Drosophila melanogaster: one gene and its partners. The protein of the gene in region 1 interacts with the protein of each later gene in a pairwise test. Each region holds a gene or a part of one and is shown in the gene's direction. Other genes may lie near its edges.

What was found.
Region 2: the proteins of Cph (region 1) and sage interact in a two-hybrid assay, tested with the Drosophila melanogaster proteins (one large-scale study listed by BioGRID).
Region 3: the proteins of Cph (region 1) and GATAe interact in a two-hybrid assay, tested with the Drosophila melanogaster proteins (one large-scale study listed by BioGRID).
Region 4: the proteins of Cph (region 1) and CG17344 interact in a two-hybrid assay, tested with the Drosophila melanogaster proteins (one large-scale study listed by BioGRID).

Annotation. Positions count from the first base shown.
Region 1 is NC_004354.4:7,223,047-7,230,618, forward strand, and holds the start of Cph (chronophage), read left to right. Parts: upstream 1-3,408; 5' UTR 3,409-3,885; coding exon 3,886-3,940; intron 3,941-7,572.
Region 2 is NT_033777.3:9,259,782-9,266,717, reverse strand, and holds sage (salivary gland-expressed bHLH), read left to right. Parts: upstream 1-2,575; 5' UTR 2,576-2,975; coding exon 2,976-3,643; intron 3,644-3,704; coding exon 3,705-3,843; 3' UTR 3,844-4,064; downstream 4,065-6,936. Other genes in the region: TrpRS (Tryptophanyl-tRNA synthetase), read left to right, coding at 1-122, 189-600, 659-1,238, 1,310-1,414; ATP6AP2 (ATPase H+ transporting accessory protein 2), read right to left, coding at 4,546-5,112, 5,375-5,727, 5,951-5,993; Ibf1 (insulator binding factor 1), read right to left, coding at 6,468-6,707, 6,762-6,936.
Region 3 is NT_033777.3:16,008,971-16,019,864, forward strand, and holds GATAe (GATAe), read left to right. Parts: upstream 1-3,303; 5' UTR 3,304-3,768; coding exon 3,769-3,813; intron 3,814-7,257; coding exon 7,258-7,595; intron 7,596-7,738; coding exon 7,739-8,672; intron 8,673-8,740; coding exon 8,741-9,236; intron 9,237-9,294; coding exon 9,295-9,625; intron 9,626-9,686; coding exon 9,687-9,783; 3' UTR 9,784-10,163; downstream 10,164-10,894.
Region 4 is NT_033779.5:19,098,894-19,105,016, forward strand, and holds CG17344 (uncharacterized protein), read left to right. Parts: upstream 1-3,150; 5' UTR 3,151-3,211; intron 3,212-3,274; coding exon of another isoform or gene 3,275-3,457; 5' UTR 3,458-3,494; coding exon 3,495-3,959; 3' UTR 3,960-4,016; downstream 4,017-6,123. Other genes in the region: CG43731 (uncharacterized protein), read left to right, coding at 3,275-3,457.

The DNA of each region.
Region 1 (7,572 bases):
AAAATATTGGAAAATATATATATATATATATATACACGACGATGCCGGGTAGCTGATTGATTTGACCGACCAACATGATGCGTGAAGATGACAAATCCAATCACAACAACAAAGAAGTCCTGTGAGTTTCTCAAGGAGGACATCAGCAGGTTGAGGGTCAAGAACAGATAACGAACGGTTGCACCCGAAACTGATCAAAGAAACTGGATTTGGGTATATGAAAGTGCAAGTTTTCTGGGAATTCAAATTAATTTCAGGAAATCCCATAAACTAAGAGTCTTTAATTTTCTTTGTTTAAATTCTAAAGCAAATGAGATTGAAAAAAAAAATAAAAAGTATGAAAATCAAGATCTGGTTGCAAAAGAACTTTCGCAGGACAAACAAGTTTTCTTTTAAAACATATTTTTTGTTGAATTTAATTTATGTTCGCTAGCTTTTTGCATTTTTCGAAGTTTTTTAGCTGATCCGCTAGTAAAACCGTTACAAACCGATCAAATTTCCATATTCATTCAACGCTTTTTTTGCTAGAAAAAAATACCAAGTCCTTGCCACAGGATTTTTATCTGCAACACGCAGAAACCAGCCAACCCAGAAAACCAAAAAATCTGACAAAAACCGAAAGGAGCAAAGCCCCCGAAAACCGGTCACCCTTCCTGTATGCCATAAATTTTCCGTTAAAAACGAATGCATTTCCAGTGAGATTTGCTCATTTAAACCAAAGCTGCTGGCCCAGGAAAACGTGAATATCAAGGGAAAATTATCCAAAAGAATGACAGCCAAATGTAAGAAAAAATGCAAAGGTAAAAAATTCAACATCCGAGGAGGGGAGACGACAATTGCCCGTCTTAGGGTGAGAGACCCACGAAACCCAAGACCATCTTCCTTTTTATCATTGTTTGAATTGAATTAAAAAAGCGACGGTAATCAATGCGAAGCTGCGCCGGCTGCTTCGTCCTTGTCCTCGTCCAGGACCCTCTATCTAAATCAGGCGAAAAAAACCTTTGCCTGCCTCACATGTGACACAAACGCCACCCCAACCCTCGCGATTCATATCTTGGGAAAATCTTGGCCACCACCCAAAAGTAAAAAAAAAAAAACGGAAAAAGGAAACCCAAGGCGCGCACACACACACATCCAAAATCGGGAGGACGAGAAAAAAACAATAAGGACACGCACGAGGGGCATAAAAAATTAATATCGGGGAAGGAAAAAAAATTTGCATAGAACAAAAAATGCCGTTACACACACACACGACGCACACAGTGAGGCTACCTGGACTCGGGCAGGACTCACAGAATTCGCAACTCTCCGCAGATCCTTAGGGGGTTGCAAAACAGAACGGTTGGGAAAAAAAAATCACACTACCCCGGGACAAAGGAAATCGAAAGAAACACAAAAGGAAACTTTGAGGAAAGCAGGCGGCGATCGGTAAAAATTGCATAAAAAATAATTGCAAGGCGACAGGACGCGGGCTGGATGTCCTGTGCCTGGATGTCCTCCCCTCCGCCCCTTTTGCGTTTGATTAAAGCGCACAAAGGACAGGGACCAGTTTTTTTTTTTTGTTGTTTTGCCTTCTTCTTAGCGTTCCAGGACATTAGCAGCATCCTTTTACAAGGCAGCTCGCATCTGCGCAAGCGCCGCCGCGTCTTAGTCCTGCCGAGGGGTAAATCAAAAGCGCGCGCAAAAAAACCAGGGTTCGTTATGCCCGTGGTATGGTTTAGTAAAAAACATAAAAAAAAACAAAAAACAACACACATGAGGAACAAAAAAATTCGTTTACCCTCGTGACAATGGGAAAGGATTAACCAACGAGGCAGAAGAAGAGAATCTTAGAGAATGTTACGCATCCGCCTGTCCATCTCCATCTCCATCTTCATCTCCTTCCCCGAATCCCGTCTATTATTAGATATATGTATTCAGGGGGAAGGGGGGTTCTGAGATCGGGGCTGGTCGCCACACTTATTGCGCAGCTTCCGCGATCTGAACTCCAGAGAGAACTGCGCACATCCCATGCTGGGATAAACGATGCCGAGATTTGGAGAAAGAGAGAGAGAGAGAGAGAGAGAGAGAGAGAGTTCAAGGAACTCCGACGTTTCCAGGATCTGTGGAGCATTGTCTCCATAAATAGCTCACTCAACTAAAACGGAACTCGAGCATTCCCCTTGCTACACCAATGTCCCTCCTGCTTTATGAACGAACTAAATCTGATCCCCTTGCTAAACTCGATATCCAAGAACTAGAAACTATCTAAAACTAACAACTTCATAGTATGGTATTACAGAACTCTATATGCCCACTAAACTAATTTCAAACACTTCGTACTGATTTTAACAGCGGACGAGTATCTTAATCAAGAATAGCCAATAAGAAGTAATTATTCTTTCGAGATACGAAAATTATTTCTAGGCTTGACTTCAAAATAACAAACCTAATCCATATCTTTGGCTTGTCATAACCTTTTATGACCTCTACGGACTAGGATATTATTGCATTTATTCATTTAATTAGCCTAAAGAATTACTTTTTCGAATTCGAACATAATTGGTAGATTTTCAGAAAAGTAATATGAATATACAAAAAATTTCCTGGTGTTTTTGAAAGAGTGTTTAGTTAAGCCTAAAATACTTCAACTTTTATCAATATGTTATAATTGAACTTTAAATTATGATTTTATTGTGGCACTTCTAAGGCCTATCTTTAGTTAGGATCCCAAGTGCGACCCTGTCATTGGTCAGTTATTCGCTGCCCGACAACCCGTTCGCTCTATCAACACCCTTACTGCTGCTCCCCCTGTTCCAATCTTTATGCTCATGACATAGTTATAGTTACACTCCCTCGCCGGCGTTTTAACCCTCTGCTGTGCGTAACAGCTCAATTTGGGCAGCGATTAGCGGCGGACAGTCGATAGTTTTCCTTTATCCATGTGAGTAGACAGATTTTTCCTTTAGAAGGTATGGGGGGGGGGGGGTTACGGGGGAGCAGTCGTAGTCGCCGTCGCTGCCTCGGTCGGCGTAGACGCTGGCATCAACGGACAGTAGTCGTCCAGAGATGAATTCATCCCCCTATTTCCCATATATTTTGCCTTTGGTCCACTCGCAACTCGAACATGTGCGAGGGAGAGGTACAGAGGGCATGAGTGAGAGAGGGAGAGAGGGAGACGGGCCAGCAACCCCTGCACGCGCGTGTGTGTGTGTAGTGGTGACTACACACGTTTTTTTTCCTATATGGTTTTTTTTTTTTAGCCCCGACCCTCGAGGGTCAAAGGGAATGAAGAGCGGTGTGTGTGCGCTGTGTGTGAGTAAAAAACGCTGTCTCTGCCGACGTCGACGGCGACGGCACAGCCTCAGCGGCAGGATTGAACGTTCGACGACCGTCGACCCTCGAGCGTCCCAGGAAGCCAACTAGTTGTCAGTCCACGTGAAGCCTCCGAGGGGTCAACAACACACTGCTCACGACCTCAAATCAGATTTAGATCCTTCGGCCGACAAACACGTCGATTTACGAAACATTAACTCGCATTCCCCACAATCACTCGAAACGGTTTAACCGATACGCAACCGATACGCAGCCGTTACCGTTACTGTGTTACCGCTTCGTGTCTTGTGAAAGTGCTCATCAAATATAAGAAAAACACAAGAAAAACCAAACATTCTAGGACAACCACACGCAGGACAATTGGATTACCTACGATCGTGTGTGTCTGTCACTACAATCTTTTTGTGCCTTTCACTTTTTTTTTCAATGCCAAAACTATTTTTTTTAAACCAAAAACCACAAAAACAACAATAACTTGTGATGTGTTAAAAGTTTGAAACGTAAAACAAAACAAGATAAAAAACAAAACACAAGACACCACAATATTTTTTTTTTTATACAAAAATCAAGATGTACAACAAAATGCTGTCGATCAGTGAGGATCATGGATTCCGTTCGCTGAGCCGTAAGTTTAAAATTAAAAACAGTAAAAGCTCATTAGTTTAATTTGTGGTATGCCTTGAGTGACCGAACCCTAAAATCGTTGTTATATCATAATCAAGAGCACCCAAAATATTTCCCCAATAAGCAATTGCCCAGAGGCGTGTATCTTGGACGGAGATAACCGCAGCATTTCTTGGAACTTCTCAGAAATTCCTATAACAGCTCTTCCTGTTCTGTTCAGTTTTGCTGCGGTACTTCTTTTTACCATGGTGTTCATGGGTGTCTCTTTAATCATTTGCCGTTGTCGCTCTATGTTGTCCCCCAAATAGATACAAAACAACAAAAAAAAAATAACAACAAAAACCGGGCAAATGTGCGGACAATTTTTGATAAGCGCGCTGTACTGGGAAGAACAACCAGAACAACAATAAGCCAACGCCCGCACCCACACCAGCACACACACCCAGCGGTGTATAGTGTGGGTAAAGAGGGGGCAACCTACTTACCTACCTATATGGATCGCAGCTATATTTACATATGTCCGTCGTGACTGTCGTTGACTTTCGGGAAATAAAACAAACTTCTCTATATCGCCTCTCTGCACCTTGCTCACAATACAAATACAAATATTTTAGCGACAAAAAACGAAAAAAAAAACCGAGCAGGGTAAAAAACAACGACCTGAAAATGAAAAGTAAAACTTACAAGCCACACATATGTCTTATCAAAAGAAGTGAGCAGAGAGCAACAATGGGAACATTTCATTGGCTCTAAGCAAATAGAGCGGGTCTTTTGCCATCGGTCCACCTCAAACTTACATTTCGATTACAAACGGATGTTCAAACAACGCACGACTTCAAAAGACCAATTGGATTTTAGCTAACCGGAAGTACAGTTGCACTTAATCGCTTCTTAGATTCTTAGAATAAAACTAGATAACCTACTCAAACCTGGAATAGTTGAAAGGAAATGAGCTATATTTATAATATATCAATAATACCTTATCTAGTTTGTTAATGTGTGGCATTAACTAGGCTTTAGTTTCCCATAAATAAAAAAAAAATTCAAAGCAAAAACATGAGAAGCTGTTTAAATTTAAACATACTAACTATCATACATTTAAGTTTTCACCTGGCTATATTTAAATATTAATTGCTATATATTTGTATTGCACTTTCGGTTGAATGCTCTTTTATTATTTAATGTTGTTGTGCCCATACCTTGTGCCCATTTCCTTTGGCTTATCAGTCGCCATGTGTGTCCAGCTTTAACACACAGACAGACGCACACGTGGACTATATGTTAATGCCCGATTCCAGGCCGCGACCATATTTGCATATGGCTCATTCACTCAACCTGGCGGGGTAACTGTGGGCTCGTACCGTCCGTTTGTCCGTCCGTCTACGGGTCTGCGGTCTCCGGTTTTACGGTCGGGGTTCCATTCGTTTGCTCATTTGTTTGTCCAGATATCCAGTCGCTTACCTTGCCGCCATATGCGGGTGTTATCAGCAGTCAGCGCTAGCTTTTGGCTAACCGCTTCTTCTCCTCGTTTTTATTTATTTTTTTTTTTTTACCCCAAAACCCCGTGAACCCCGCGAGCCACCATGAAAACGAGCTCTATTGGGGGACAGTAGGCAAATAAAACCAAATTTTGTATGCTAAAACACTTTGCGAAGGCGACCGGTGTGATAAGGCTTCGGGGCTTCGATACTCGTATTTGTTGCGCCCCCGCACAACAGAAATCATTGTAATTTCAGGCGGTACCATATATATGTACATATATAATATAAAACACTATGTGCATGTGTACGATATATCGCGCTCTGTTTGTTATAGTTTCAGCTGCTAAACACCTTTCCACGTATCCGTATCGCTATGTTATCCACACATAATTTGTTTAAACAAATTAAGTCCGGGGGCCGCTCCGACTCCAGTTGATTTTCAGTTTTTCAGCTGCTGACGTCGCTTTGTCACTGTCAGCCAAAAAAAAAAAAAAATAAATAAAATAAAAGAAAAATTCAACCGCCTGTTGGACACAACACTTACATATTTATATATATACTTACTACCACTACGCCCACGCCGACTGTTATCGCCTGCCACAGAATTTTGAATTTGTTTAACCCTTTTTTGTTGTTAAACTTTTAAATGAGTTGGCCAAAAAACAATACAACAAGTCGAAATAACAAAAAAAAAAAAAAGAGCGTTGTCTTTAAATATTTACTCAGCATTTTCGGGGCGTTCGTTATTATTATTTCTACTCTGTTTTTTTATTTAACAACCCGTCAACGAAGTGGAGCACTTGGATAACCATTCAGCTGTCTTTAGTTTTCGATTTTGCAGCATTGAAGGCAAAGTGATTGCAAATGAATGGTGATACATATACATACTGTCTTTTTCCTTGCCATATTCTCTACTTTAATATTAATAACAACTGTGATTGCTTAAAGAGGCGCAAGTTTCGCTGTCTTCCACCATTTTGCCCACAGATAGGATAGTTGGTCCAGTTTTTCGTGGCTGACGCCATTTTTCATCGGGGTCCTGTGTCCTTCGTCCTGCGTCCTACGAAAGCGAGCACCTAAAAACAGCCGACGACGAGGACGACCGTGTGGCGCTCTCTGCCTGGTTTTTATGGCATCCCCACAGATAGAGCAGACACCCATAACCTTTGGGCCATAAAACCGAATCCTTCGACTCCTTGGCTCTGCACATGTGTGTGTTTCTGCCAGGATGGGGGCATAAATTAGCACAATCAACGTATTGTTTTCGGCCTGCCACGCCCCCATCCCCTGGGCAGTCAATAACACGAGAACGTTATAAATAACAAAAATACAAGAAGTTGAACGAATTTCATATTTTCTTGTCCTGATAATTTGCGCAAAACTTCTATTAATATGTTAATTCTTAATTGTCCTACTTGGCTTACCCCTAAGGATACATCCAACTATATATAAATATATACCAATGTCTGGTGGGGCGGGGGGGTGATATTAATGGCCGCAGGCTTGCATTAAATGGCCAGGAGTGCTTTAGGCCAAAGTCGCAGCTCGTAAATATTTGACTTAAGCTGCGCGGTTAACAAATCGACGCACTTCAATTTATTTTCTTCGGCTTTTTTTCCTTCTGTTAATGCGGGGAGAAAATGTCTGAATTAATTACGCATATATGCAAGAGGGTAAAAGATGCCAATGACATCACACTAGCTAATAAATTCTGATTCTCGCAGCTAGCAAAAATGTGAAACTTTATCAGGAGATCGGAAATGCATAGCAAATTACTCGGTAATTGGGTGGTAGGAGTGTGGTAAAACTTCCAGATTTCGTTTATGAAAATAAAATATCAAATATTAATAGAATAATCCAGTCCTTTGTCCTACCCATATAAACGAGTATATATTGACTATTTGATCTGCTTAAATCGCATTCGATTTGGTCACTGCCCGAAAGGGTTAATGCAATTTATGACTTTACGGTCTCGGTAAGCTGGCACTTTTATGAAATCTATTTGGCAAGGACTCTGTTGACACTTGTCAGGCGGACTGACACATTTGACAGCTTCACACCCTTTCACCTTTTTCTCCTGTTCTCTGTTCACTTCTTTTTTTTTTTTTTTTGTTCAGCCCCCCTGGCTCCTAAGCATTATTAACCCTCTTCA
Region 2 (6,936 bases), on another chromosome or scaffold:
CGTGGAAACGGGCACGGATGCCCAGGCACAGGAGGGAGCCACTGCACCCACTGAAGATGTTGTGGATCCATGGAATGTGGCCAGTAGTAATGACGCGGGCGTCGACTATGATAAGCTGATAAGTAAGAAGACATTTGCAAGGCAAATTATTAATCAAGTTAATCAAACGACATGTTGACACGTTGCAGAACGGTTTGGCTCCAGCAAAATCGATGAGGAGCTTATCGCGCGTTTCGAGAAAATCACGGGAAAGCCCGCCCACCACTTCATCCGAAGGGGCATGTTCTTCTCGCACCGGGATCTTCATACGATTCTAACACTGCGCGAACAGGGCAAACCCTTCTATTTGTACACTGGTCGCGGTCCCAGTTCCGGATCCCTGCACGTGGGCCACCTGGTGCCCTTCATCATGACCAAGTGGCTGCAGGAGACCTTTGATGTGCCGCTGGTTATTCAATTGACCGACGACGAGAAGACCTTGTGGAAGGATCTGAAAGTGGAGGATGCCATCAAGCTTGGACGTGAAAACGCCAAGGATATTGTGGCCATTGGATTCGATGTCAACAAGACGTTCATTTTTAATAACCTGGAATTCGTGGGGTAAGTAAATTAAAAAACTTTTAACCTGTATAATCTGTATTATCTATATTACTTACAGAAAATGTCCTGCCATGTATCAGAACATCATTCGCATCCAGAAGTGCGTTACCTTCAATCAGGTCAAGGGCATCTTTGGCTTCGGGGACTCAGACATCATTGGCAAGATTGGTTTCCCAGCCGCTCAAGCAGCTCCCGCGATTTCCAGCACCTTCCCCTTCATCTTCGGCAACAGGAAGGTGCACTGCCTCATCCCGTGCGCCATCGATCAGGACCCATATTTCCGCATGACTCGCGATGTGGCTCCACGTCTTGGTTTTCCCAAATGCGCGCTCATCCATTCGACCTTCTTCCCGGCGCTGCAGGGTGCCAAGACGAAGATGTCGGCTAGCGACCAGAACTCGGCTGTTTATCTGACGGACACGCCCAAGCAGATTAAGAACAAGATCAACAAGTACGCCTTCTCCGGAGGACGCGTATCTGTGGAGGAGCACCGCAAGCTGGGCGGAGTTCCGGAAGTTGATGTCTCCTATCAGCTGTTGAAGTTCTTCCTGGAGGACGATGCCAAGTTGGAGGAGGTGAGAGTGGCTTACAGCAAAGGCGAAATGCTTACGGGCGAGATCAAGAAGCTGGCAGTTGAGGTAAGTGCAATGATGATGCTACAATCTTCCCAAAAAACATTGTAATTAATGTGCTCAAATGATCTTCTTAGACGCTCACACCCATTGTGGAACAGCATCAGGCCGCCCGCAAGCTGATTACGGACGAAGTGCTGGACAAGTACTTCGAACTACGACCCCTGAAGTTCGGAAGTTAGAACGGTAGCCGAATTGAGGTACCTGCATTTGCTTGACATCGATTCTTACTACCAGTTTATATGAAATTAGCTTAAATCGAACTAAGCGATATTAGTTTAGCACCGAACCGACTAAGGCACTTCTATGTAAATAGCTATACAGAATTGATCTATGCCTTGGCTCTGAGTCCGTGTGGCGCCCACTTAATGCATCGTTGTACTCGCTATTTATTTTATTTTTTACACAGCGTGTTTATTTTTATAAAGCAGAAAACAATAAACTTCGGCTTCGATTTGCAATTGCCACCACAGTGACCCACATTTGGGAAGTTGTTAGCAAGTCTATACATTTTCCTGGAAACCCGAAACGTTCAGCCAAGGAGAGAAACAAGTCAACTCTCTAGGTTTCCCTAGAAACTACACTCTGCTCATATTCATTTCCGATTCCGGGCAAAGGTGCCTCTCTGGTTAGCCAGCTAGCAAAATAACTCTCGACTTCGGAAAAATGTAAGTAATTTTCTCACTTCTAGTTGTGTGTTGTTTTTTTTTTCTGGTAACCCGAGATCTTGCACATGAATTGAATTTCGCGGGCTATCAGTAGATATTCTTCTAGTTTTTTCCTTGCGGTTTATAGTTTCAGGAATTCTGAATTTTCGGAAGAAAAAAATAATTTGCTAGTTAATTACTATTAATTAAAGAAGATATGTAGTAATAATGGAAACTGTGCTCAATATCTCAGTCTTTTAAGCAAGTATCTATTTCAATTAAGAAAAATCATAAAAATAGGTATAGAATATGTAATATAATTTTTAATAGGATTATAAGAGCACTTAGCTGGCGATCACGGTTTTTCATTGACTAGAGAGAAACCAAATTAGTTTGAAATTAGAATTGGGCGAAGTTTGGAGCTAGATTGGCCAAGCTTAGGTTTCTTACCTTCATATAGACGAACCTATATTCATAACTAGCTATATGCATATGTGTGTATTTTTTAATTAAGTCAAAACACTTGTGTTTACATGCGTCGAAAATACACTCTTTCATATGGGCTGAGTTCCAGTGTGGGTGTTTGTACATAGCGACGATCAAAAAGAAAAACTCAAACTGAAGTTGTGGCGACGATCGTCGATCGCTGATCCCAGAGAGGGATCCGACATAAGTCGGACGCAACTCCAGCCTGCCACACGCGCCTCGATCACCATTCGCAGCCGTCGGAGTCGGATCGATCGGACAATAGCGAGGAAATTAAGCCGCTTTGTTTGCACAGCGATTGGATGGGACAAAAGGACCCTCGACGACAAGTTGGTCCCCTATAGATCACCTGTTGACACACGTACAAAGCGGTGGCCTCTTAAACTAGACGAGATGTGGCCCTCATCAACCCCGGATGAGTAGTCACGTCTCGAATCGATGGATCGATGGTGAGCCATTCATCACGATCGCCAGAGTCGTCTCTAATGCAACTAAAAGTAAGCAAAACAAAAAGGTACAAGCTAAAAAAAAAAAAACCAACCGAGTCCAGGTAAACCTGCTGCAGTCCGGCCAGAACTCTTGATCGGTCATTCGAAAAGCGGCTTAAGCGATGACGGATCAACTGCTGAGCTCCACGGCCGGCGTACCGGGTGATCCACCGCCAGTTTTGGTGCCCGTATCAGCCACCACCGGTGGACCCTATTTGAGCGGTGGATCCGAGGGCGAGGCGGAATCATCGGAACAGCCCGTTCTTCTAGAGCTCGGTGCCCCTCAATCGTCCAGTTGTCCGGCAGTTAGTCTCAACTACACCCTAACCGCGGATGGAGCAGGCTTGCTGGCATATGCGCCAACTCATCCGCATAGCTACTCACCCAGCGTGATGGGTGGCTACGAGAAGGAAGCGCACAATATGGGTCTGTTGCCACCCACATATAGCGTTATACCTCAGCCGGTGTCGATGTGGCATGCTGGCCAGGTGGCCACCGGTTCGCCAGTGGGCTTGGAATGCAACAAACCCAGTGAGCTGGTACCTCCGCCCATGTATATGAGCTATAGCGGCGGTAGTATAGCCAATAGCACTGAGGTGGACATCGCCAAAGAGCACAATCCCGCCTGGCGGGAGAAGGCGCTGCAAATGGAGAAGGACTATAGACGCACCGCCTGCGATCGGGAAAGAACCAGGATGCGGGACATGAACCGAGCCTTTGACTTACTGCGCTCCAAGCTACCCATATCCAAGCCAAATGGGAAAAAGTACTCCAAAATCGAGAGTTTGAGGTAAGTGAAAGTATCTGCGGTAGAGCTCTGTAATATATTTATATGATCTTTGCCTACCCAGGATTGCCATCAACTACATTAATCACCTGCAGGCCATGCTGCGGGAGAGCTCCGTGGGTCAAAATGGCAATGGATGCTGTGCCTGGAGCGGCGGAAGTAGTTCACCTTATGATAATGGCAACGATCATTGGGGAGCGTAACTTGAATTAACGAATATCAAAGGGAATTCATTTAAATATTCAATTTAAAACTTGTGTTATATTATATCCGCAATTTGCCAAAGTCATTCCATGAACCTATAAAAGTTAAGGTCCATACTTTACGATTTTGAGAAGAAAAAAATTGAAATAGCTTTCATTTTATATTAGTTTATCATGTTAACCTTTTTATAAGTGCAATAATTAAATAAATTATCAAGAATACCACGTATGATTTCAATTATCATTTGCCCCAAAAACTAGATAACAAAACCAGGCGCAACTTTGTCTTTTTAGGCTATATATATTTAACTTTACTTTTCAACACTTCACATTTTGATAATTTACATATGATGAATCGTTTGAAGAACTGACTGACTTGGCGAGTATGTTGTGCATATTCGTATATATATATAAACCTAAAAAGTACAACAAAACAGGAAAATGTAACAAATTTCTATGGAATTGTTGCGACGCCCGCAACTGCATTGAAAACTGAAAAGTTTTTTAATACTTATTTATAGATAATAAAACCAACTACTGCGACAGCTGTCCGCACACACACAAACACACAATTTATCCGCTGTTGGATTGAAGTAGAAGTTGGCAAATTTCAACTTAAAAGGGGGACGAAATAACAAAGCGTAACGCAAGCTCCTCTCGCTCCTCCTGCTCCTCTCGCTTCTCAACTCCTCCTGCTCCTCCTTAGTTGTCCTTCTTGATGCGGGTAGAGGTCATGCGGTAAATGATGGAGTCCCTGCCGGGATCCATGGCAGCGATGGCGTAGCAGATAGCCAGCAGAGACAGTCCGAAGACGACCATGAACCACAGGATGATGTTGAAGATCACCGGGTAGTCGCTGCCGTAGTAGACGGCCAGGTTGTAGGGATTGGTGGTGGAAGCGGCAATGGTATCACGCTTGGCACGCGATGCTGCCACGTCCTTCTCCGTGGTCTGGACAAACAGAACCGAGTCGCTGGACTTCTGGGAGGCAGCAAGCAGGCGGCTGATAGCGGCCGACAGCAATTTGTTGGCCTCCTCCACGGCCACGGACTTCTCGCCATGAGCCTTGGCCACTCCATCGACGGAAACGCGCAGCATCAGGACATTCGAGGGCTTGGCCATCTCAGCCAGATGATCGGCGGCACTGTTGATGAATCCAACCTCCTGGAGGAACTGCTTGTCAGCGGTGTGCAGAGAGGGGTTCAGGTGCTTGGTGGGCTTGGCGGCTGGGGCCTCGAAATCACCAAAGCAGGACTTCCAGGCTTGAACCTATAAAAAATATGTGGTTAAATATACATTGGTCTCTACGTTATATGCGTAAGGGGGAAGGCACTATGATTCACTCTATAAATCATGTGATTAATTAATTTTTAAGGTTTAATAACTATCTATCATATTTGTGGGAAGTTATAGCGGATTGTAGAGAAGCTTCTTTAAACGAACTTTCAGATGAAGATCATGCTTTCTGCGGTTTGACAAATTAGCTAACTGACTAACGAAATGTGCTTTTCCCCTTTAAGACACCACTTACGCCATCGTCGAACTGCTCAAAGTTAATATCGCAGACGGGCTCGTTGGCTGCCTCCAGTTCGGCGGCCAGGGCGTTCAGAGAGGCGTCCGTTCCGGAGCCTGTCAGCTCGTAGGTCTTGACGTTGCCGGCGGTGGTCACGTGACCAATGCCCTGGACATGCACCAGAATGACGCCCTTGGCCAGGTTGAAGGGATCGTTGATGGTCAGTCCGTTCCAGTTGGTATCGCCGCTGACGGCGTTGCCCATGGAAGCGTAGAGTACATCACCCACGTAGTGGCTTTCCAGTGCATCGTTGCCCTTGAAACTGATTGCCTTGGGACGGTTCAGCACGGTGAATTCGCCAGAGGCATTGACTGCAAAATAGGAAGACGTAGCTCATAAGTTCTGTAGAATCTAACATATTCGTCTCCTTTGTCCAAGATTCTGCGCATGCATGTGGGGAGCCCTTTGGAGTCCCGAGTTCTGGGTGTCACCACCCCCAAAGAGGAATCGATGAGTACAGAATATCCACTTTGTGACCGCTTTCCACTTGCTGCGCATGCATTTTACTTGATTATAGATGGTAGATCTACTTACTGGCCGCTATAAACAGCGAGAAAATCACGAAAACTCTCAACATTTTCAGTTTTCCGCTGGACTTTTAATCATATGACGAACGACTGCAAAGAAAACCTTTTCTCTTCCCCGATATCACCCTGACTATCATGTGATGAACAGGGTTGCTTGGGGTCAGTTATCGAATGGGTATCAGTAGGGTTGTCGAAGAGTGCGAACTATCGATTGTACTAGTATTTCTAGTTTTATTTATTATGTATTTTTATTTATTCAATAATTTTGATGTATGTAATATTTATGTATGTAAGCATTAGATTACATCGATTTTAATAACACTTGTAAGCATTGCATTATTACATTATTATTTAATAAAAAGATTCGAGTAATCAGGCTTAAAATAATGTATTTTGTAATCACCTTTACAAAGTTAAATGTAATAAATCTATGTTGAATTCAAGACAGACATTTTCGTCATCTTAACAAAAATTAAGGGTTCACCATGCGGACATTTAAAAGTTATCTATAGTTAAAATACATTTTAATCGCGTAGGGCGTCGATTTCCAATCGAAGCTTCTGAATCTTAAGCAAAGTCAGTGTGCGCTCTACTTTTAGATTGTCCGTTTCCGTTTTAAGAAACTTGGTCTTACTCTGGAACTGACTGATCTCGGCTCGCGCCTTTTCCGCTCGCAATGCAGCTAAACCATTTCTTGGCCTGGCCTCGATGATCGTCGCCGATCCATTGGCTAAGTCATCCGGGTTTTGCTGCAATATGTAATGCTGTTCGATAATCGTTAAAATGTCTAAGATACTTATCAAATTGTGAATATTTACTTCTTTGCTTTCGTCCAGGTACTCAGAGTATTCGGGATTTTTAATTTCAACGTTGGAAATTTCAAATTCCAAATTTTGCTCGCCAGACTCTTCCGTTTTGGTCAGTTTCCTTTTGCGAATTTCTCGTTTCACTCTGGGTTGCTCCTTGGGCGCCTCAGCCTCGTCAGCATCGTCC
Region 3 (10,894 bases), on another chromosome or scaffold:
TTCAACTCAAATCGGTGGCAACGAGAATCCCATCCATAAATTTCTCATGGCTAAATCGCAAGGCTTTGAAAGCAACGAACAACAAAATGTCAGCGCTCATAAGTAATAAATAATGTTTGTATGCGTTTTGGGGTCGACGGAGTCGTCAGTTAACCAGCTACCTACCCAAAACCGAATCGAAAACCCAACACAGTCCGTACTCCACTCCGGGTACCCACTCCAAGTGCTGATCCCAATCAACCCCAGTAGCCATGATTGTTAACGTTAATGGCGTCGATGTCGTTGCTGTTTTGTTGCCGTTGTGGCCTCCGTTTCATGTCTTACGTTTCCCAGCCAAAACAATGCCCAGCAGCAAGCGCACTGAGCACCTCTGTCGGATTATTATGGATTGCCAGTTATAGTGATGAGTCACAACCTGGCCCCATTGGCAAACAAAGGTGCGTATACTTAACAAACAAGCAAGAGAGTCTCACAAAAAAGAGACCACTGCCAATCGCAAGAGGCTATGCAGTTGGAATGGAATATGCATTAGATCGAAAATGTATGTTAATTGAAATCATAGTAAGATATGGATAAAAATTGTATTAGTTTTGGTTATAAATAATAAGTTATTGGTTTAATAACATACTTACCGCTCCTCAACAAGCTCCTCCACAAAAACTCTTGTTTCTTCTCTGATATCCGAACTTTCCCCTGACTCACTCGAAAGATACATCACTGTCCGAGTGTCCAATCCATAAATAAACGAATGAACATTCGTTAGCCAAGTGACAACTCTTCGGAGCGTAAACAAAGAAAGCTTAACTTTTTCCTTGCCAGCTCCTTCTGCGGAATTGGACCTCCTGCTCTTCCAGCTGGTAGGCAGTGCCTCTTCCTCCACCTGGGACCATGAAATCCCGCAGTGCGGAGTGCGCAGTTCCATTTTCATAACTCATGTCCGAAATGTTGTTAGCGTGCTTTGGCCGGATGATTTATGACCTCGGCGCGGGTTAATAGAATTTACTTGAACCCAATTTGCCAGCGGTTGCAAAGCGCAGAGTGCAGCCGCCCAAAAGGGAGAGCCATTACGGCACTTCCATTTGCATCTCCATCTTTCCATTCCATTTTTATTCGATTGAGCCACGCCATTGCGGCTGGCAGGGATTGGGCAACCAGCCATGCGGGGTGGGACTTTGGATCGAATCGGATCGCACCCCTGCTGCCGACTATAATTAAAACTATGGCGCACGCCTTTGTTGCCACTGGCACGTTTAATTTCCAAAGAGTTCTTCCCCTTATCAGAACAACCCGTTTGTGCCGCCAAACAAAATTGGAAAAAGACCAAAAAGGAAAGCTAGAAAAATAATACAATTATAACCAAAACAAGAGCGCAATAAAGAATATATAAAAATTAAATTCCATAGCGTCATTCCAGACAAAGATCGGCGATACTGTCAACTGGCCGAGAACACTTGAGGCTAGATAACTTTTAGGCTATGGTTTCTTAAGGTTTTGGTTCGCTTCTATGGTCTTTCACGGACATAGCACTTGAAACTCCATGGAGGTGGACAAGTTGAAGGGTGTACGATTCCGGGTGTACACGATATGCCATGGTCAGCAATCTTAAGACTCTGTCTGTTTCGCCGCCCCTAAGTCTTCCGTCTTAGGGTCGTAAATTCGCCGGCAAAGCACCTAAAGCTAGGCGCGGCGGTGCCATCAATTAGGGTATTAATTGCCCGGCTCTGCCGTGGCAAGAGAGCCACCTCGATGAGTCAGTCCTGTGGCCGGGTATCCAGTTTGGAGTCCTCCTCCTCAGCATTAATCTCCTGTAATGTTGATTTCGTGTAGCGCCATTTGTAACGATCGAAACTGGCATAGCCGTCAACTTTTTGAGTGATTAATCACCGCACAGATATTTCGCGACACGCAGCAGTAGCTACTATTAGATACTTTTTGTCTGCCGGTTTTGCTCTTAAGATTTGCCCATGATTTATGCACCGCATGCGTTGCAACAATTAAAATTATCGCCTCAACTCGATTTCCATTCATGGGAGCAGCGGAAAGTTGCCCGTAATTGTGGCATTATAAGCAACTCCGAGGGGATTGTGCATGTTAATGGCCGTCATATATCTGCTTGCTTTATGACTTTAACTATAAACAATTTATGATTCGCTGGGCCAACTTGGCTGGGTGGCCAAGATATGTGGCTAACTTACAGATTGCAGCTCTTCGAAGAAAAGAAAGCAAGGAGTTGGTACGGATTGCCATAGGGGCTTAGCATTAAGCATATAAGCCTAGATTGAATTTTTTAGAATTTAAGTCATGGTTTTCATATACATTTTATTATAAAATGTACTATTTAGCTACTACATCCCTATATATAGTAAAGATATGTTTACAATATTTATCTACACATACATCTCTGCTTACAAAGTATCTGTAATTGACAGGTTGAAAAATATATCAGATTTCTGACCAAGCACTCCAATCACCCAACCACTTCAAACTCAATCTTTTCCTGGCTGGTGACAATTCAGGGGTTTTGCAATATATGCGCCGCACCTGATCCTCGACCACGTGTGCTCCTGCCCTCCACCTCCGCCTCCTCCGGCGGTGTTTATTAGTTACAACACTCGAGAGTGGATTGTGAAGTGTGGAGAACTAGAAGAACTGGAGAAGTGGAAGTGGAGCGCAACAACCGAGCAGTCGAGCTGTCAAAGCGGCCCACATTCGGGCGACTGTTCGTGGGGTCATATAAAGTTTCCGTGCCCATGCCCATGCCCAGTCCCACTTTCCAGGCCCAAGCCCGATCCGATGATATTCTGTTGACGTTGACTAACGTTGCTCGAGTTTATTAGTTTGCCAGAAAAGTGTTTTATGAGTGCAATTAGAAAATGCGCTAGACTAAATTGCACAATTGACAAATAGCAGGGGGCGAGGGTGAGGAGCGCTGAAGGGTGGAAATGGAATCAAATGTGGTGCTGGCTGAACTGTGCCGGCTGGTGGGCCTCTTGACGCCACTCTTCGGAAACCTCGGAACATTGGTGTAACATAGGTGTGTTGGAAAATCGGCCGAGCGCGCAGGCGCAATTTGTATCTCACGGATACTTATCGCAACCGTGGCACCAACACTCGTTGCGTATCTTATCGCATGTGTGTCGATAAGATAACCAATACCAGGCGAGGCGGTACAGAATAAATCATAACGCTGCCACACCGACAGGACCACGCACCCACACAGGTGTGAGGCCGCCCAACCGCAGAGGCGCTGGATCTTCATCGGTGTGGGTAGCTAATTGGGCGGCAAACGCGCCGCAGGCACCGCATTGCGTCGCCGTCGTTGTTGTCATCGCAAGTGAGGTGCTTGGTGCTCAGAGTGCTCAGTGTTTAGTGTATCGAGCCCATAGACCGGAGACCAGTGCCACCACCAGAGCCCAGTTGGTCTCGAAAAAATAGCACTTCGTATCACTGCTAACTGGCAAAGGTTGCGCGCGGGCCACAACCACAATCGCCCCACGGGTGACAGCATTAGATCGCCCCCAAAGCTCCAAAGTTCCTACTTTCCCAAGTTACCAATTTTCGTCAATTTTCGCCAATTTTCCCCACTTGCTCACTTTGCGCGGCACTTTTTCGGGCGCCCAGATTGATAGGAGAAGTGAACCAAACACCTGGACAAGCCGTGCTTGTGATAAATTTTTGAAAACACAACAGAACTGAAATCAAGTGATAAAAACCAATCTTAGATAAAACGCTGGAAGAAACGCAAAGAAGCGGCGTAACTTCAATTTGATGGTCTGCAAAACTATCTCACCGAGTGTAAACATGCAGCTGAAGGTGGGTAAAATAAACTTATAATTATTCAAAAATAGTCAGCGTAATTTTTGGGTATTATATATTAAGTTTGCCAAGTCGGTATTTTCTTTTCAAAACCAATTCCGTTTAAAATCCATATCGGAATGGAGAATATCAACCTGACCGCTTAAAGCAACTATACGTGAACTCTATTAAAAACATTTAAATACCTTTTTGATGCTCATTTACGAGATCTCTATAAGCCTATCTATCATTTCTACTTTGTTGAAAGATCATAAAAGTTTTTAACGTTTTCTCACACAAGTTCATTAAGCTAAATAGACAGGCCATATAGGGTCATTAAAAGCAGATAGTTCAAGTTTATAGATCAGTCGCAAGGCACGAATAAATATTAATTTATTAATTAACGGAGTATAAAGAGCTTTCAAAGGTATTTACAGCTCGAATAGCCATATAGATTTTACATCCTTCGGTGTACCGAGCCAGAAAATGATTTTAGCCCGCAAACGGCAGCGATATGGATTTTTTTCAGTTCTAGCGCCAGGGAAATAAGATAAGACAAATTGATTTATAATGAATGAGTCATCTGGGATGCAGCGGCAAACTGCGACACTTATTTTGGTGTCTGCTCTTGGAAGAAAAACCGAACCGAAACGAACCGAAACCATTAAGAAAACGAGAATGGGTACGAAAACGGGGCAACAAGAAAGCAAGTTAAATGTGGAAAGATGGCTAATCTTTATGAGGTCCAAATTCAGCTGCGATCGAAGGTGGCGTCAAAATACCTTTGACAAAAATAAAATTTGAAACACGCAGCCGACTTTCAACTGCTCGCTCCTCTTCATTCATGAAAAGGGACTGTTTTTACCCATTTTTTGCTGGCCACGGATAATGTGAAATTTATGTCAATCTTATCACCTCGCTTTGGTCCTGCTCCTTATCCCTGTCTCTAGCGTATCCTTCATGGGCTTGGGGTTGGTTTTGTGAATGAATGCCAACCCTTGGCTCATCTGGGGGTACTTTTTATCCTGCCGGAAGTGTCCTTTCGACCAATGGAAGAACAGTCCCTTAACAGTTGCTCAATGGCGGCATCGATAGTTGCAGTTCCAGTTGCAGATACTTTTATTAGACACGCGTCGCCAGTTGACAGTGGATGATGGCTGATAGGAGAGAGGGCGAAGGTTGCGATTGATGGCCCTTTAATAGAGCTGTAAATGCAGCTGGCAGTCGAGAGTCTTATCTCACTTTCATTAGCCAACTGCAGTGAAGTTTAATTAATCGAAGGATCTTCTAACGAGGGCAGATATAAAGGGTATAAATGTATATCCAAAAATGGGTACATTTATTTACTTCCCATTCTTTTGTTAATTATATAGATATTTTGAAAGTGCTCTCACATCTTTAGCCTTTAAGCAGTCTTACCCAAGAAATTGTTCATATTTTTTTATAAGTCTAAAATAAAAAGTAAAACTGGCAAAGAATTTCCTCGAGAAATTTAGAATTTTAACAAAAATAGCATTCATCACAACTGCATTATATTCAAGTTTTATAGTTCTATTCAGTTCTAAATGCCTTAAAATGTTTGGTCAGAGCTGCCTTTGAAATTTGCTCAACCACGAACCCAAGCTCAACGAAAGCGAAACGAGGTGCGATTATATAGTCAATATCTTTTGTTTATATAGATAAAGTACGAAATGTACGTGTGTGTGTGTGTGTGTATGGTTGTGGGTGTGACTGGGCAGATTTCATTCATAAGTTCAGCGGACTCCACACCCTCGCAACGATTCTTGACTAAGCCGAGCAAATAGCGCATGCCATTGCCATTCTCGGGTGACAAACATCGCTTGCACAACTTTTGTAATTCTTGGATATATCTGTCCCTATTGATGACGTAGCCGCAACTGAGAGTGGGTGCGGGCAGTTGGGGGATACCAACCATGACCTCTCAGTCCCAGCAGCAGCAGCAGCAGCTGATTATGTACATTGATAGCGCCCGGATAAGATATTGTCCGTATCGTTCGGCCGTAGTATCTTAACTTTTTCGCGGTACATGGCACGTGCATGGGGGCCTACCTATCGTACTACTACTATATACACACACTCAAAGTCGGGTTTATCTGCATTTCGGGCAGACGATTGTCTGAAGTGACGTTTGCACCACATTATCTCGCACCCTTTCCATCCAGGGAATTCTTTGAACTTTGGCCAAGACGTTGAAAACTTGGCACGGTCATCACCGCCGGCGGAATGCAATCAGTTTCCATGGAACTCTTTCGTCCCCCATTTATATGCCTTCCACATAAGTAATTAAACTTTGTACCTTGGTAAGCGTTAGATTTTTCATTTTTACGGCTTGTCACCAACTGAATCATCATTGAACTTGGCTTGTGTCCACGCAAAAAATGTATCAATCATTTGTGGCACGTCAACCTAAAGTTCTGCGAAAGTGAATCAATTTTCATTAAATGGAAGATAAAGTATTAGTTTTTTCATATAAAGGGAGAGTGGGGATTTTTATGGAATGTATTAAATCAATTCAGCGTGGTGATTATTTTCGGAAAAAAAAAACACCTGTACAAGTATATGGTTATATCTCAGTTAAAAGCAATTATCTTTGCAATATATTTCAATGGCCACAAAAATTTTCCTTTAGTGTTGCTGTGGATTTCCTCAATTGACGGTGGTGATGGTTACACATAAGCACACACATTTTTTGGTATATTTATAGCCATGGTAAAGGTGGAAACCACCTGAAAGCCTCTGAGCTATATGGCACTTGTCATGAGCGGACTGGCGGTAAATTTCAACCTGGCCGCATCGTGAATCAGGTGACAGTGACGATCGAATGTGTTGACACAAGCTCGAGGATGGGAATGGGGATGGGGATGGGTATGGGGCTTTGGAGTGGAAGTGGAAGTGCCACCCCCAACGGAATGAGGTCATAAACCCAAAAGCGACTGACGTATGGCGGGGAAAGCAAAGCGATTTTATGGCCAAGTTTAATTTCCGCCAAAAGCCAAACTAAACCAAAAAAAAAAAAAAAAAAAACCACGAATACACAAGAAAAATGAAAACGAAACCAAGGCACCGCTCTGAGTTTAGGGTTCTGTGAGCAAATACTTCTGCTGGTGGAAATGAAATGGAATAAAAGTGAAAAATGTGTTCGACAATGTTGACACTGAGCAACTGAGTGGTAGAAAGGAGAGGGGTCGCCTCCAAGCCCGTCTCCGTTCGGCTCAGTTTCTGGTACTTTACGGTTGTAGGCGACAAATTGAGCTGTGAGTCGAGCGCGGGCGGTGTCTTTGAAGTCCGTCTCAGCGGTCTTGGTTGGGCTTGCGTCTTGTTGACTTTTGTGGCGGAAACCGAGGCGGGCAGTTCGCACTGCAACGGCCGGAACTGGAGCCACACTTTTGAGACGAGCCGGGCGAAACATGGCATTCAACACTTGTCGCTTGCTCATTGCAGATGGAACAGCAGACAACGCAGCAGCAGCAGCAGCAACAGCAACAGCAACAGCAACAGCAACAATTGCAACAGCAACAGCATCAGGCTCTAACCAAGCAGCAGCTTCAACTGCTGGACAAAATCAAACTCGAGTCCAGCAACGGCGCCGATCAGTTGGCCCAGCAGACGGCCAACAATCTGGATGAGCAGCAGGAGCAGCAGCAACAACACCAACAGCAAGCCGCAACATCGGTGGGCGTGGTGGTGCAGACGGGCCAAGCGGGCGTCAGCGAACCGGAGGAGCAGTACGTGGTGGTGCCACGCAACCAGCGCCGTATTCTCACCACAGCCGGCACACTGTAAGTAACCTCTGGAGACCTTCTTTTCCTAAGAACATAAGCATTCACAAATTTCATTTTTAAACACAATCATCTAATGCAAATGGCAATCGATAGTTACAATTTACCATTGTTATTTAACAGTGTTATTAACAACATTTCAGTGAATTAAACGAAGCTCGTGAAGGAGAACCGAGCACAAACGCCAGCAACGCGAGCTCAGGATCTGCTTCGGATAGCCACATCGAGTACCAGCGCAGTGCACACCAATCTCCCGGAGCCACTCACTACGTGCAGATGGCGCCACGCAACGCAGAGGTGACGGAACAGGTGGGAGCTGCTGCCGGAGCTCCGCCGGGCACCATCTTCGCCTATCCTATTATCTGCAACGGTGACGATGTGGCCGCGATCAAAATCGAAACACTCGAGAAGGGAGAGGCGACGGGGGAGTCGCAACAACAGCAGCAGCAACTGCAGCAACACCAGCATCAGCAGCAACAGCAATGTCCCACACCCAACGGAGCTAGCTACGGCGAGACCATAGTGATCAGCAGCGAGGCGGAGGCACTGCAGCATCACCACCAACAGCAGCAGCAGCACCAGCAGCAGCAGCATCAGCAGCAACACCACCAACACCAGGCGGCAGCTGCAGCATCGGCGGCGGCCCAGACGGTTCACATTGCCACCAGTTCGCATGGTGGAACCGTGCGCTTCGTTACGGAGGATGTACGCTTCACCACCGCCGGACCGGAGACATCCGCCTCGAATATGTACTACGATGTACCCGTGGTGGATGGCAGTGTGCATGCCAACGAGTCCAAGACCTACGCCGACCTAGGCAACGCATATGCCCCCTTCCCGCCCAGCTCCAGCTTCAGTAGCAATAGCTATGCGGCAACGCTTCAGCAGGGAAACACTATTTACAGTGTTCCGGGCACCGGTCAATTCTTGGCCAAGTCCGAGTCTGGCCTAAATCAGACTGGACTGCTGCGCCAGACTGGACCGGCTACTTTTCAGACGATATCTTTTGAGGGCGGCAACGGCATCGAGCCTTTATGGGCATCTCCCGCCCCGCCGGAGTACCAGAGTGTTCAATTTGTAAGTATAATTTAAGTTACTGGTTCTTGAGGCGGTACATACTAACTGTTCTCCCGCATGCTGCACAGAGCAACTTCCATCCGCAGGTTATTGATGAATACGGGAGCGGCAATATGAGCACCTCCCACTGGCCGCCCGCCAGCAGCATAGGGCAGTACGATGGAAGTCTGGTGACCGCCTCGTCCACATCGTCGCCCAACCACGAGCTAAAGTGCGAGAACTGCCATGGGCCGTTCTTGCGGAAGGGTAGCGAGTACTTCTGTCCCAATTGCCCGGCCTTTATGCGGATGGCGCCCCGTATAACCCAGAGGCAGGCGAAGCCCAAGGCCGCCGCCGCCCCCAACAACCGGCGCAACGGGGTCACCTGCGCCAACTGTCAGACCAACTCGACGACCCTGTGGCGTCGCAACAACGAGGGCAATCCGGTGTGCAATGCCTGCGGACTGTACTACAAGCTGCACAACATGAACCGACCGCTGTCGATGAAGAAGGAGGGCATCCAGAAGCGCAAACGGAAGCCTAAGAACAACGGAGGAGCACCCATGCACCGAGCACCGCTGCCGAGTGAGTACACCTGCCAGGGATTACAGTATGCAATAAACTAATCCCAATTCCCAACCAGGCATGTCGCAGGGAGTCAACCTGATGGCCAACAGTCCGCTGTATCCTTCCCAAGTGCCAGTTAGCATGCTGAATAGCCAGCTTAATAGCCAGCAGAATTCCAGTCCGGAGCTGCACGACATGTCGACGACGGGTCAAGCGGGTGGGCAACGGGTGGTGTCCATTTCGCTGAATGCGACGGCGCCGCCCACCCCCGACGGAACGCTCAACATGTCCGCCCGTCATCACGTGACCGGCGAGAGCCATTCTCCTTACAGTCAGCAATCAACGCCACAGAGTCAATCGCCCCATCTGCCCGGCACGGTGCCGATAAACCGTCAGATAGTTCAGCCGTAAGTTAAAGATACTTTTCGCTACCCTGTCGGACTCCTCAATAATAATCATACCTTATAGAGTACCCACCATCGAAAGCAGTCGCAGCTCCAACACTGAACTGACCCCCAGCGTAATCACGCGCACTGGTCTGCCAGAGCGATCATCGAATAACTAAGCTAGCTTTGACTTATGGCTTAAGCTACGCACTAAAGTAACCTATAGTTAACCAAACCCAAATTTCAAAAATTGCCAAAATATTTATTTAAGCCCTAGCCGTTAGTCATACTATATAGCCAAGACCAATGTCCCAGTTAGAGGAAGATTTTGCCGGGTTTTCCGGGTCTTGAGTAACCATTTAACTGTGCAAATGTCTTCCTCCTTTTAGTCAACTGCTTACAGCAAATAGTTTTGAAATGATTTGTGCCAACCACTTAGGATCGCTATACTCTATATAGAGGTAGTTTAGCCCAAGACAGCACAAGCCCATAATGAAGCCTACGATTTTGTATGTTTAAGCCTCTTTTTAATTCTACAAAATAAATAAGTTGTAAACGCAAGGCACTCGGACTTTGATGGCTTTACCAGGATGCGAGGTACCTTGGTGGAGATCGTTATATTTCATTGTCAACAATTTGGCAGCCAACCAAATTGATCCAAATTAATTTTAATGACCCCCACGGACCACAGCGCGAGACCATAAAATCTTAACAAGTTGGCAGGCAAGAGACCCGCGATGGGGCAACCCAGAGACGAGGAACCCAGATCTCGCGCGGATCACCGAAGCATTGGAGCAGTGTCTAAATAGCGATTTGGTGTCATCGCTTAAAAGCCTGTCCGAAGCACAGTAACGCCACCGCCCGCAGCCGCTGCCTTTGATCTGCTGTCGGCGGTACGGATGGCATGGCTCGGATGGTATGGCATGGTATGGCAAAAATGCCCCACAGCCCGGGAATGGAGTCCAGTTTGAGTTCGAGTCGAAGGAGGTATGGTATTAACGCCTTGCGCTTGGGGTCTCTCTTTGTCCGAGCCTTCTTTTTGTTTTTGGCGTACGCTCGATCAATTAGGCAAACTTGTTTTACGACCGCTTTTATTAGCGTCCGCTCTGGCCGGCGCTCCAAGTTTACCGATTCGAACTCAAGCCGCGGCTCCACTGGAGAGACTACCACTTGGACCGAAGCCCCAAGTTGGTTGCGGTTTCCAGACTGCGGTGCGAATGAGTAATGAGACGGCGGTCCCAGCACCCGGCAGCTATGGAATGTGTTGGCAAAAATTATGTGCAGCGTCAA
Region 4 (6,123 bases), on another chromosome or scaffold:
ATCGACTGAAATGCCGTTCAAATATTTACACCCAGCAGCAAATAGATATCCCCCAAACGCGAAGCTACTGCTCCAGAGTCCGGAGACGATGATAAGCGGGAGCGAACATGGGTGCGCTAATTGCGGAATGATAAAACCACCAAGTAGTAGGTATCCAAGTCGGCTACCATGGGTACTACCTCCCGCCCGCCTTGAATTGATAACAGCCCCAGGGGCTAAGACCACGAAAATGTTCCACCAACCCGGTTGGTATTGCCAGGATTTTGGATTGCGTTAAAAATAAAAAGCGCCCCGGAGGTTATCCAGAGTTGCCAAGCCAAATGTCGAAATACTCTATCTAAATGTTACATTCTTATTTATTACAGTGAAATTTTTAACTAAACTTCTATATACGATATTCATAGGGTAAACAAAAGTATAAAAGCTAGAAAGTTGACAGAGTAGCGGGTATCTGATAGTTTAGAGATTGCACTATAGGTGTACTTCTTGTTGTTAATGTAACTATAGTTTGTTTTAATCGAAAGGCAATTTTGTCATTACAAAAAGGAACATTTTCTAGTATTATTTTAAAATCATACCAAATGTAAGAATTCTAAACCAAGTCGAGTACCAAGCCCTTTGTATTTAACATGATGAAGTCATAAAACTCTCTGCAAGGTTTTGACAATTAAATAAAATAGGAATTTGTATCTCTGCGCACTTTGTTATTGCCAGCGTTTTCGACTCGTATTTGCCTAAACCGGCCCCTCAGGAATACCAGAAAGCTCCTGAACCCCAACACGTTGCTACAGAGTTCTGCGATGGATGGGGTAGGGCATCAAGGATGTTACTCCGGGATTCTCCGGGTTGTTGGCAGCTTCGAGCGTATTACATAAAATAAGAAAAATTATGATTTCCGCAGGAGGGTGGGGGGAGGGGGGGGAGTGGAAAGTGGAAAGCGTGTACATTTCGGAGGGGCTGGCTGTTGCTTAACTGTCAAAATCGTGTAATTTAATAAAGTTCGCTGCGGGATATTGTTTTTTATAGAAGCCAGAGCAGGACTGAGACAGCTTTTGCCAGCTGCCAAACGGGGAGTGGCTGCTGTTTTTCACGGAAGGGGGGGGGGGGGTGGTGGTGGGGAGAACGTGGAAATGGGGCTCCTAAAGTGTGCTGCACAAACAAAAAATATTCAGTTCACTTCAGTTACATACGGCATATTGCAACAACGCAATGCTGTCTTGTTGCCCGCCACAGGCACTCCACAAACACACTCAAGGGGGGGTCTATCTAGTATACCCTACATATATATATATAGATATATATATATAGAAAAATATACATCCCTATGTATGAAGAGAGCTGCGAAAAGTTTTTATACATTCCACTTGTTTACTTCAAAGCAGCGAAAAAAGTTCTTACTTTGCGAAATACACAAAACTTGTGCGTCGTGGTAAGTGGAAACCAAATAAATGTTAGACTAAATAAATAAATATTACTTCAAGTTTTATATTCCAGTCCTCAAATCCACTTAACATCTTTAAGCGTACAAAATATTTTAAAAAGATGTGTATTTATGAATCAATAATAAAAATAAAACGCAACTAACACAAGGAATATTCACTTTTATAAAAAATGGGAAATACATTTATATGTTAGGACTTCCTAGGATTTCAAAAATTTTACTGCTTTTATTTTATTTTTAAAGTTTATTTTATGTTTAATCTTGTATACTTTTCATATAAGAAGTTACAGGTAAAAATTAGTACCGTTTCCAAGCCTATAAAGAACTTGTATAGCATTCTAAGATACAATTTCATTTTCACACTCATTGAATTTTAAAGCAATGATAATTTCATAATTTTGTAAAATATTTAATACAAGACATTCCTTAAATCCCACCTTTATATTCCTTAACAAAGCTAATTCAGTTTTATACATGTACATATATGTGATTCATAGCTACAACATGATTCTCCCACAAATTGGGCTTTAAGGTAGAATTTCTTGAAACATACTACTTCCAGTTTCGTACAATAATTGTCTTAGATTTCACATATATGGCTTAAAACCAACCTGAATGGCGCCTTAACAAAGCCAGTCCCAGATGTCTTTCTATTCTCAGCTGACGTCCCCAACCATTTGTGTGCCGTTTCTTTTTACGAAGCGAAATTCCTATTTTATTTTATTAGCAGCGAAGAAATATAAAAGTAAACAGTTGGCTCCAAAAACACACATGACTGTGTACACCCTCCTGCCGAAGTAAAAAACGCCCCACGCCTCCCCTGTTTGCCGCGTCATATGAACGCCCCATTATTTACTTAACATAACTTGAACATTCGCCTTCAACCCCCCACAAAAAAAGAAAAGAAAAGAAAGCTCTTCAAGGGGGAGCATCAAAGTTCTAAAAAAAAAAAAAGGAAAGAGAAAAAGGAAAATTCGAAGGTGGGTGGTTAGAAAATGGTGGGGAGGTCGTCGCTTGGCTTACCTGCCAACCAACCAACCAGCCAGCCGGCAGTTGGCTAGTCAAAAAGCTGTCGTCGATGCTAAGCGCAGACCCAGAAAGTCATCAAATATGCAGAAGGTGGAAATGTGCAGGGAGGCTCCACCATTTCACTACCATTTGCTATCCCAACTCCCCGTCAACCGAAAACGGAAAAATGGCGAAAAAATGATTTATGTGGACGCCATGGAGGAACGGAGTGGACGGCAACGAAAAGCCAACAATAACCGGGAAAAATAACAGAATCAACTGATTTCTCAACTTGGCTCTGAGCCTGCTTTTGTTTGCCAGACTTTCGACGGAGAGTGCGGAGCGGGGGGCCTTGGATAGACCCACAATTTTACCTTCCATTCGGGACTTCATTCTTGTTTTTGCCGCAATGAAAAATGCTGAAAGTGTGCTCCACAGACAGCGGACTCCAATGGTATTGGGGTCACCGAGAAGGTATAAGATATTGATGTACCCAGGGGAGCTGCTTTTCCTGTACAGCTCTATTTTTGGAAAAATAACAAGATCCTCATAGAGAAGCTGCATGGGATATTAGTTTTCATCGGAAGCTCTATTTATGCAGTAAGCTTTCATATATATGTATATATGCTCTAATAATAAACAAGGAAGCCCTACCATATTTGTCAAATTCAACTCGATAATTCATTTACATTCCGTTCCTTAAACATATAACAAGGACACCAATTTCGGTCCGAAATTCAAAATTCAAAAAAAAAAAAAAAGGTGAGGACATAAATTATTTCAATATAGCTTTTCTATATAGTATATATACTTCTTTTCACACAGATGTCCGATATCAATTTGACTGCCTATAACGCCTTTCGCCGCGATTTGGCCAGGATATACAAGACATTCAGTTCGTATACTCAAACCGATTTTACTGAGGATTATGGCACCAACACAGACTTCGATTGCCCAGCCGATGTGGAATCAAATCTTTCCAAACTTTACGATCTCGAACTGGAATAGTAGTTGCATGTGGTAGAAGAGAGTTTATCCGATTGAGATGGAGAACAGGGTCAAGGGAACGCACTCGGAGATCTGTATGGAATCTAGCAGAATAAGGCATCTGCAACCGCTCAGATCGCGATCCCAGGATAACGGAATCAGATTATTAGCCGCAAGAAGCGATTTGGCGATGACACCATGGTCTCTACCATCGGAATCTCCATCTGAATCGGATGAATCCGAATCCCAAATCTCAGGTTACACCACAGAGAGTAGCTACCGAACGGTGCCTGGTTACGAGCTCCTTTCGCAAAGTAGTTCGTATGCCAGCAGACAAAATCCCTACGCGTATCCGCCAGCGGACTTCCTCTGGGAGATCTACGTGCCCATCCATAGTGGAGCCACTGAGGAGGACATCCAGACCGTTCATGGGGAGTTGCGGGAATTGCTGGCCAGCGAGATGCATTTAATCAGAGGCGCAAATGGACCAGTGATCTATCTAATTGCATACAGCTACATGTGATCACTTCTTACACATTTAAAATATATAAACCACAATAAAAATAATTATTCAATCCCCATTTGCAGCATACAGATTTATTATTCCATTTAATATATTTTTTTGAGTTATAAAAATATTGACCTCCGGCAAATCCAGTCCACAAAACATACCAATATCTTCAAAGCGAATTGAGCTCTTTTAAAAAGTCATCTACTTAATCACTTTTTCGACTACAAATGATGGGCTTGCCAAACTTCGTTCAGCCTTTTCAATGGACAATCAGTTCTCGAGTGAAGTGTTTGCTTGTACTGCGTGATCTGCGCCTGTTGACATTATGACAAATTACATAAGCCAAAGGCAACAATTGCCGGAACCCATTCCGGAAACGCGGGGAAGGAAGGAAAGAGGGAAGGAAGGAAGGGGGAACAAACCGAAAACGGATACGCTTAGAAGGACTTGGAGTGGTGGGGGGTTTTAGGGGGTGGTTCGGGCTGTAGGCACGTTAATAGGAAAGCCACACAAGAACTGCTAACGAAGGACACGCGGCCGGCGGTTGAGCGACAAGTGCGTTGGGAAGAATTCCAGTCACACACAGGACACAAGGACAACGAGGTCCTGGCAGCGGGGTGGATCGTCTGTTTGCCGAGCACTAAGTGCGCCGGGCAAGTGGAAATGATAAACATATTTACACAATTTTTGACGGGCGAACGGGTGAAACAAAACACCCGTGGGTACAGTCGTACCCTTCACCCCTTCCCCCTCTCCCTCCACCACACCCTCCCCGCAGTTTTCCCATTTCTTCGCTTTTCTGGTGCGCGTACGCACTTGAAACAAGCGAAAGGAAAACCAAACCCAAACTCGATAAATATGTTTATGTGCAAATAACAAAATATTTGTCGATTGCCCGAAACGAGTGATGGGCGGGGTGATGGGCGGACTTTGGCTTCGGGGTAGGGCAGGCTCTAAAGGCAGAGGCAGCTCCAGGGTTTTCAGGGGTTCCAGGGGTTCCATGGGTTCGAAAGAAGCACCGCAAGCGCATAATTCAATTTTTCTGCTCGTTTTGCACATCGCCCGGCACACGTCACTCGAGTCCTTTGGGACACCGACGAACTGCCATGCTACACCAGCTAAGCCCAGCCCAGCTACACTGCGAGAAAAGTACACAACTACACTGCAACAAAAGAGCAGTAAATGAAACATGAAGGTTAGAAACAAGATTCAACATTACTAAAACTTCCAGTTTCATGAAGTGTGTAGTCAACCAGAACTCCAATCCTTTCCCTTGAAATGTGCCCAGATTTAATCATGATTAAAGTTCAGGTTGGTTAAGGTGTTTAAGATATCATACTGATATTATAATAATATATTATACTAAGAATACCTTAGATTTTCCGTTCCGCTTCAAATTGGACCTCTACCAAAAACGGGATAAGTCATTCCCGACTTACTGGATTTTTCCAAAGTGCACGCACTTTGTCAGGGATGCAGTGGATATTAGTGACACGTGGCGAAGGCTCGACCAAGGCGATCCGCAGGTCCCAGCACATGCGGTTTCCCGGATCCGTCCCCCCCCCCCCTCCTTTCCACCCAGGAATCTATATTTATTTGTTTGTAATTACGCGTGTTCTAAAAACGAAATCCCGCCGCACTTGAAGCCGGGAAAATGGCTAAACGGCTGAGCCTGCTCTTTTCAATGCCCGAAAACTTCGGCCGGGAACACACGTGCAGTGGACGACCGCCTCCACTGGTGACCGGGTATTCCCAGCGCATTAGCAACAATGCCGGAGACATTTGGAGTTTGTCAACAGTTTCGCATTGGATTTGGTTACGGCTTTGTTCTCATCAGCGGCGCGTGTCCCTGTCCGATGTCATCTTCTCCACTCTCGACGCGACTCAACGCGACTCGACGCGACTCGACTCGACTCCAATCCGCAGTCAGTTGTCAACTTTCTGGGCTGGCTTTTAGTCCGGGGATTGCCGATTGATTTGGCGTGGGATTTTCGAGTGCGGCACATGTATGAAACGAAATCATAAATGTGACAGGCCTGGATCATAAGCAACTCGCACAAAGAAATCCCTTTGACCATCCTTGAGCCATCTCAAGCAGCAATAAATCATCTCCTTCGGAGCCATTCACCATGCATATATCCTCAAAGAAAACTTTCTGCCGGAACTTTGCCAGTTA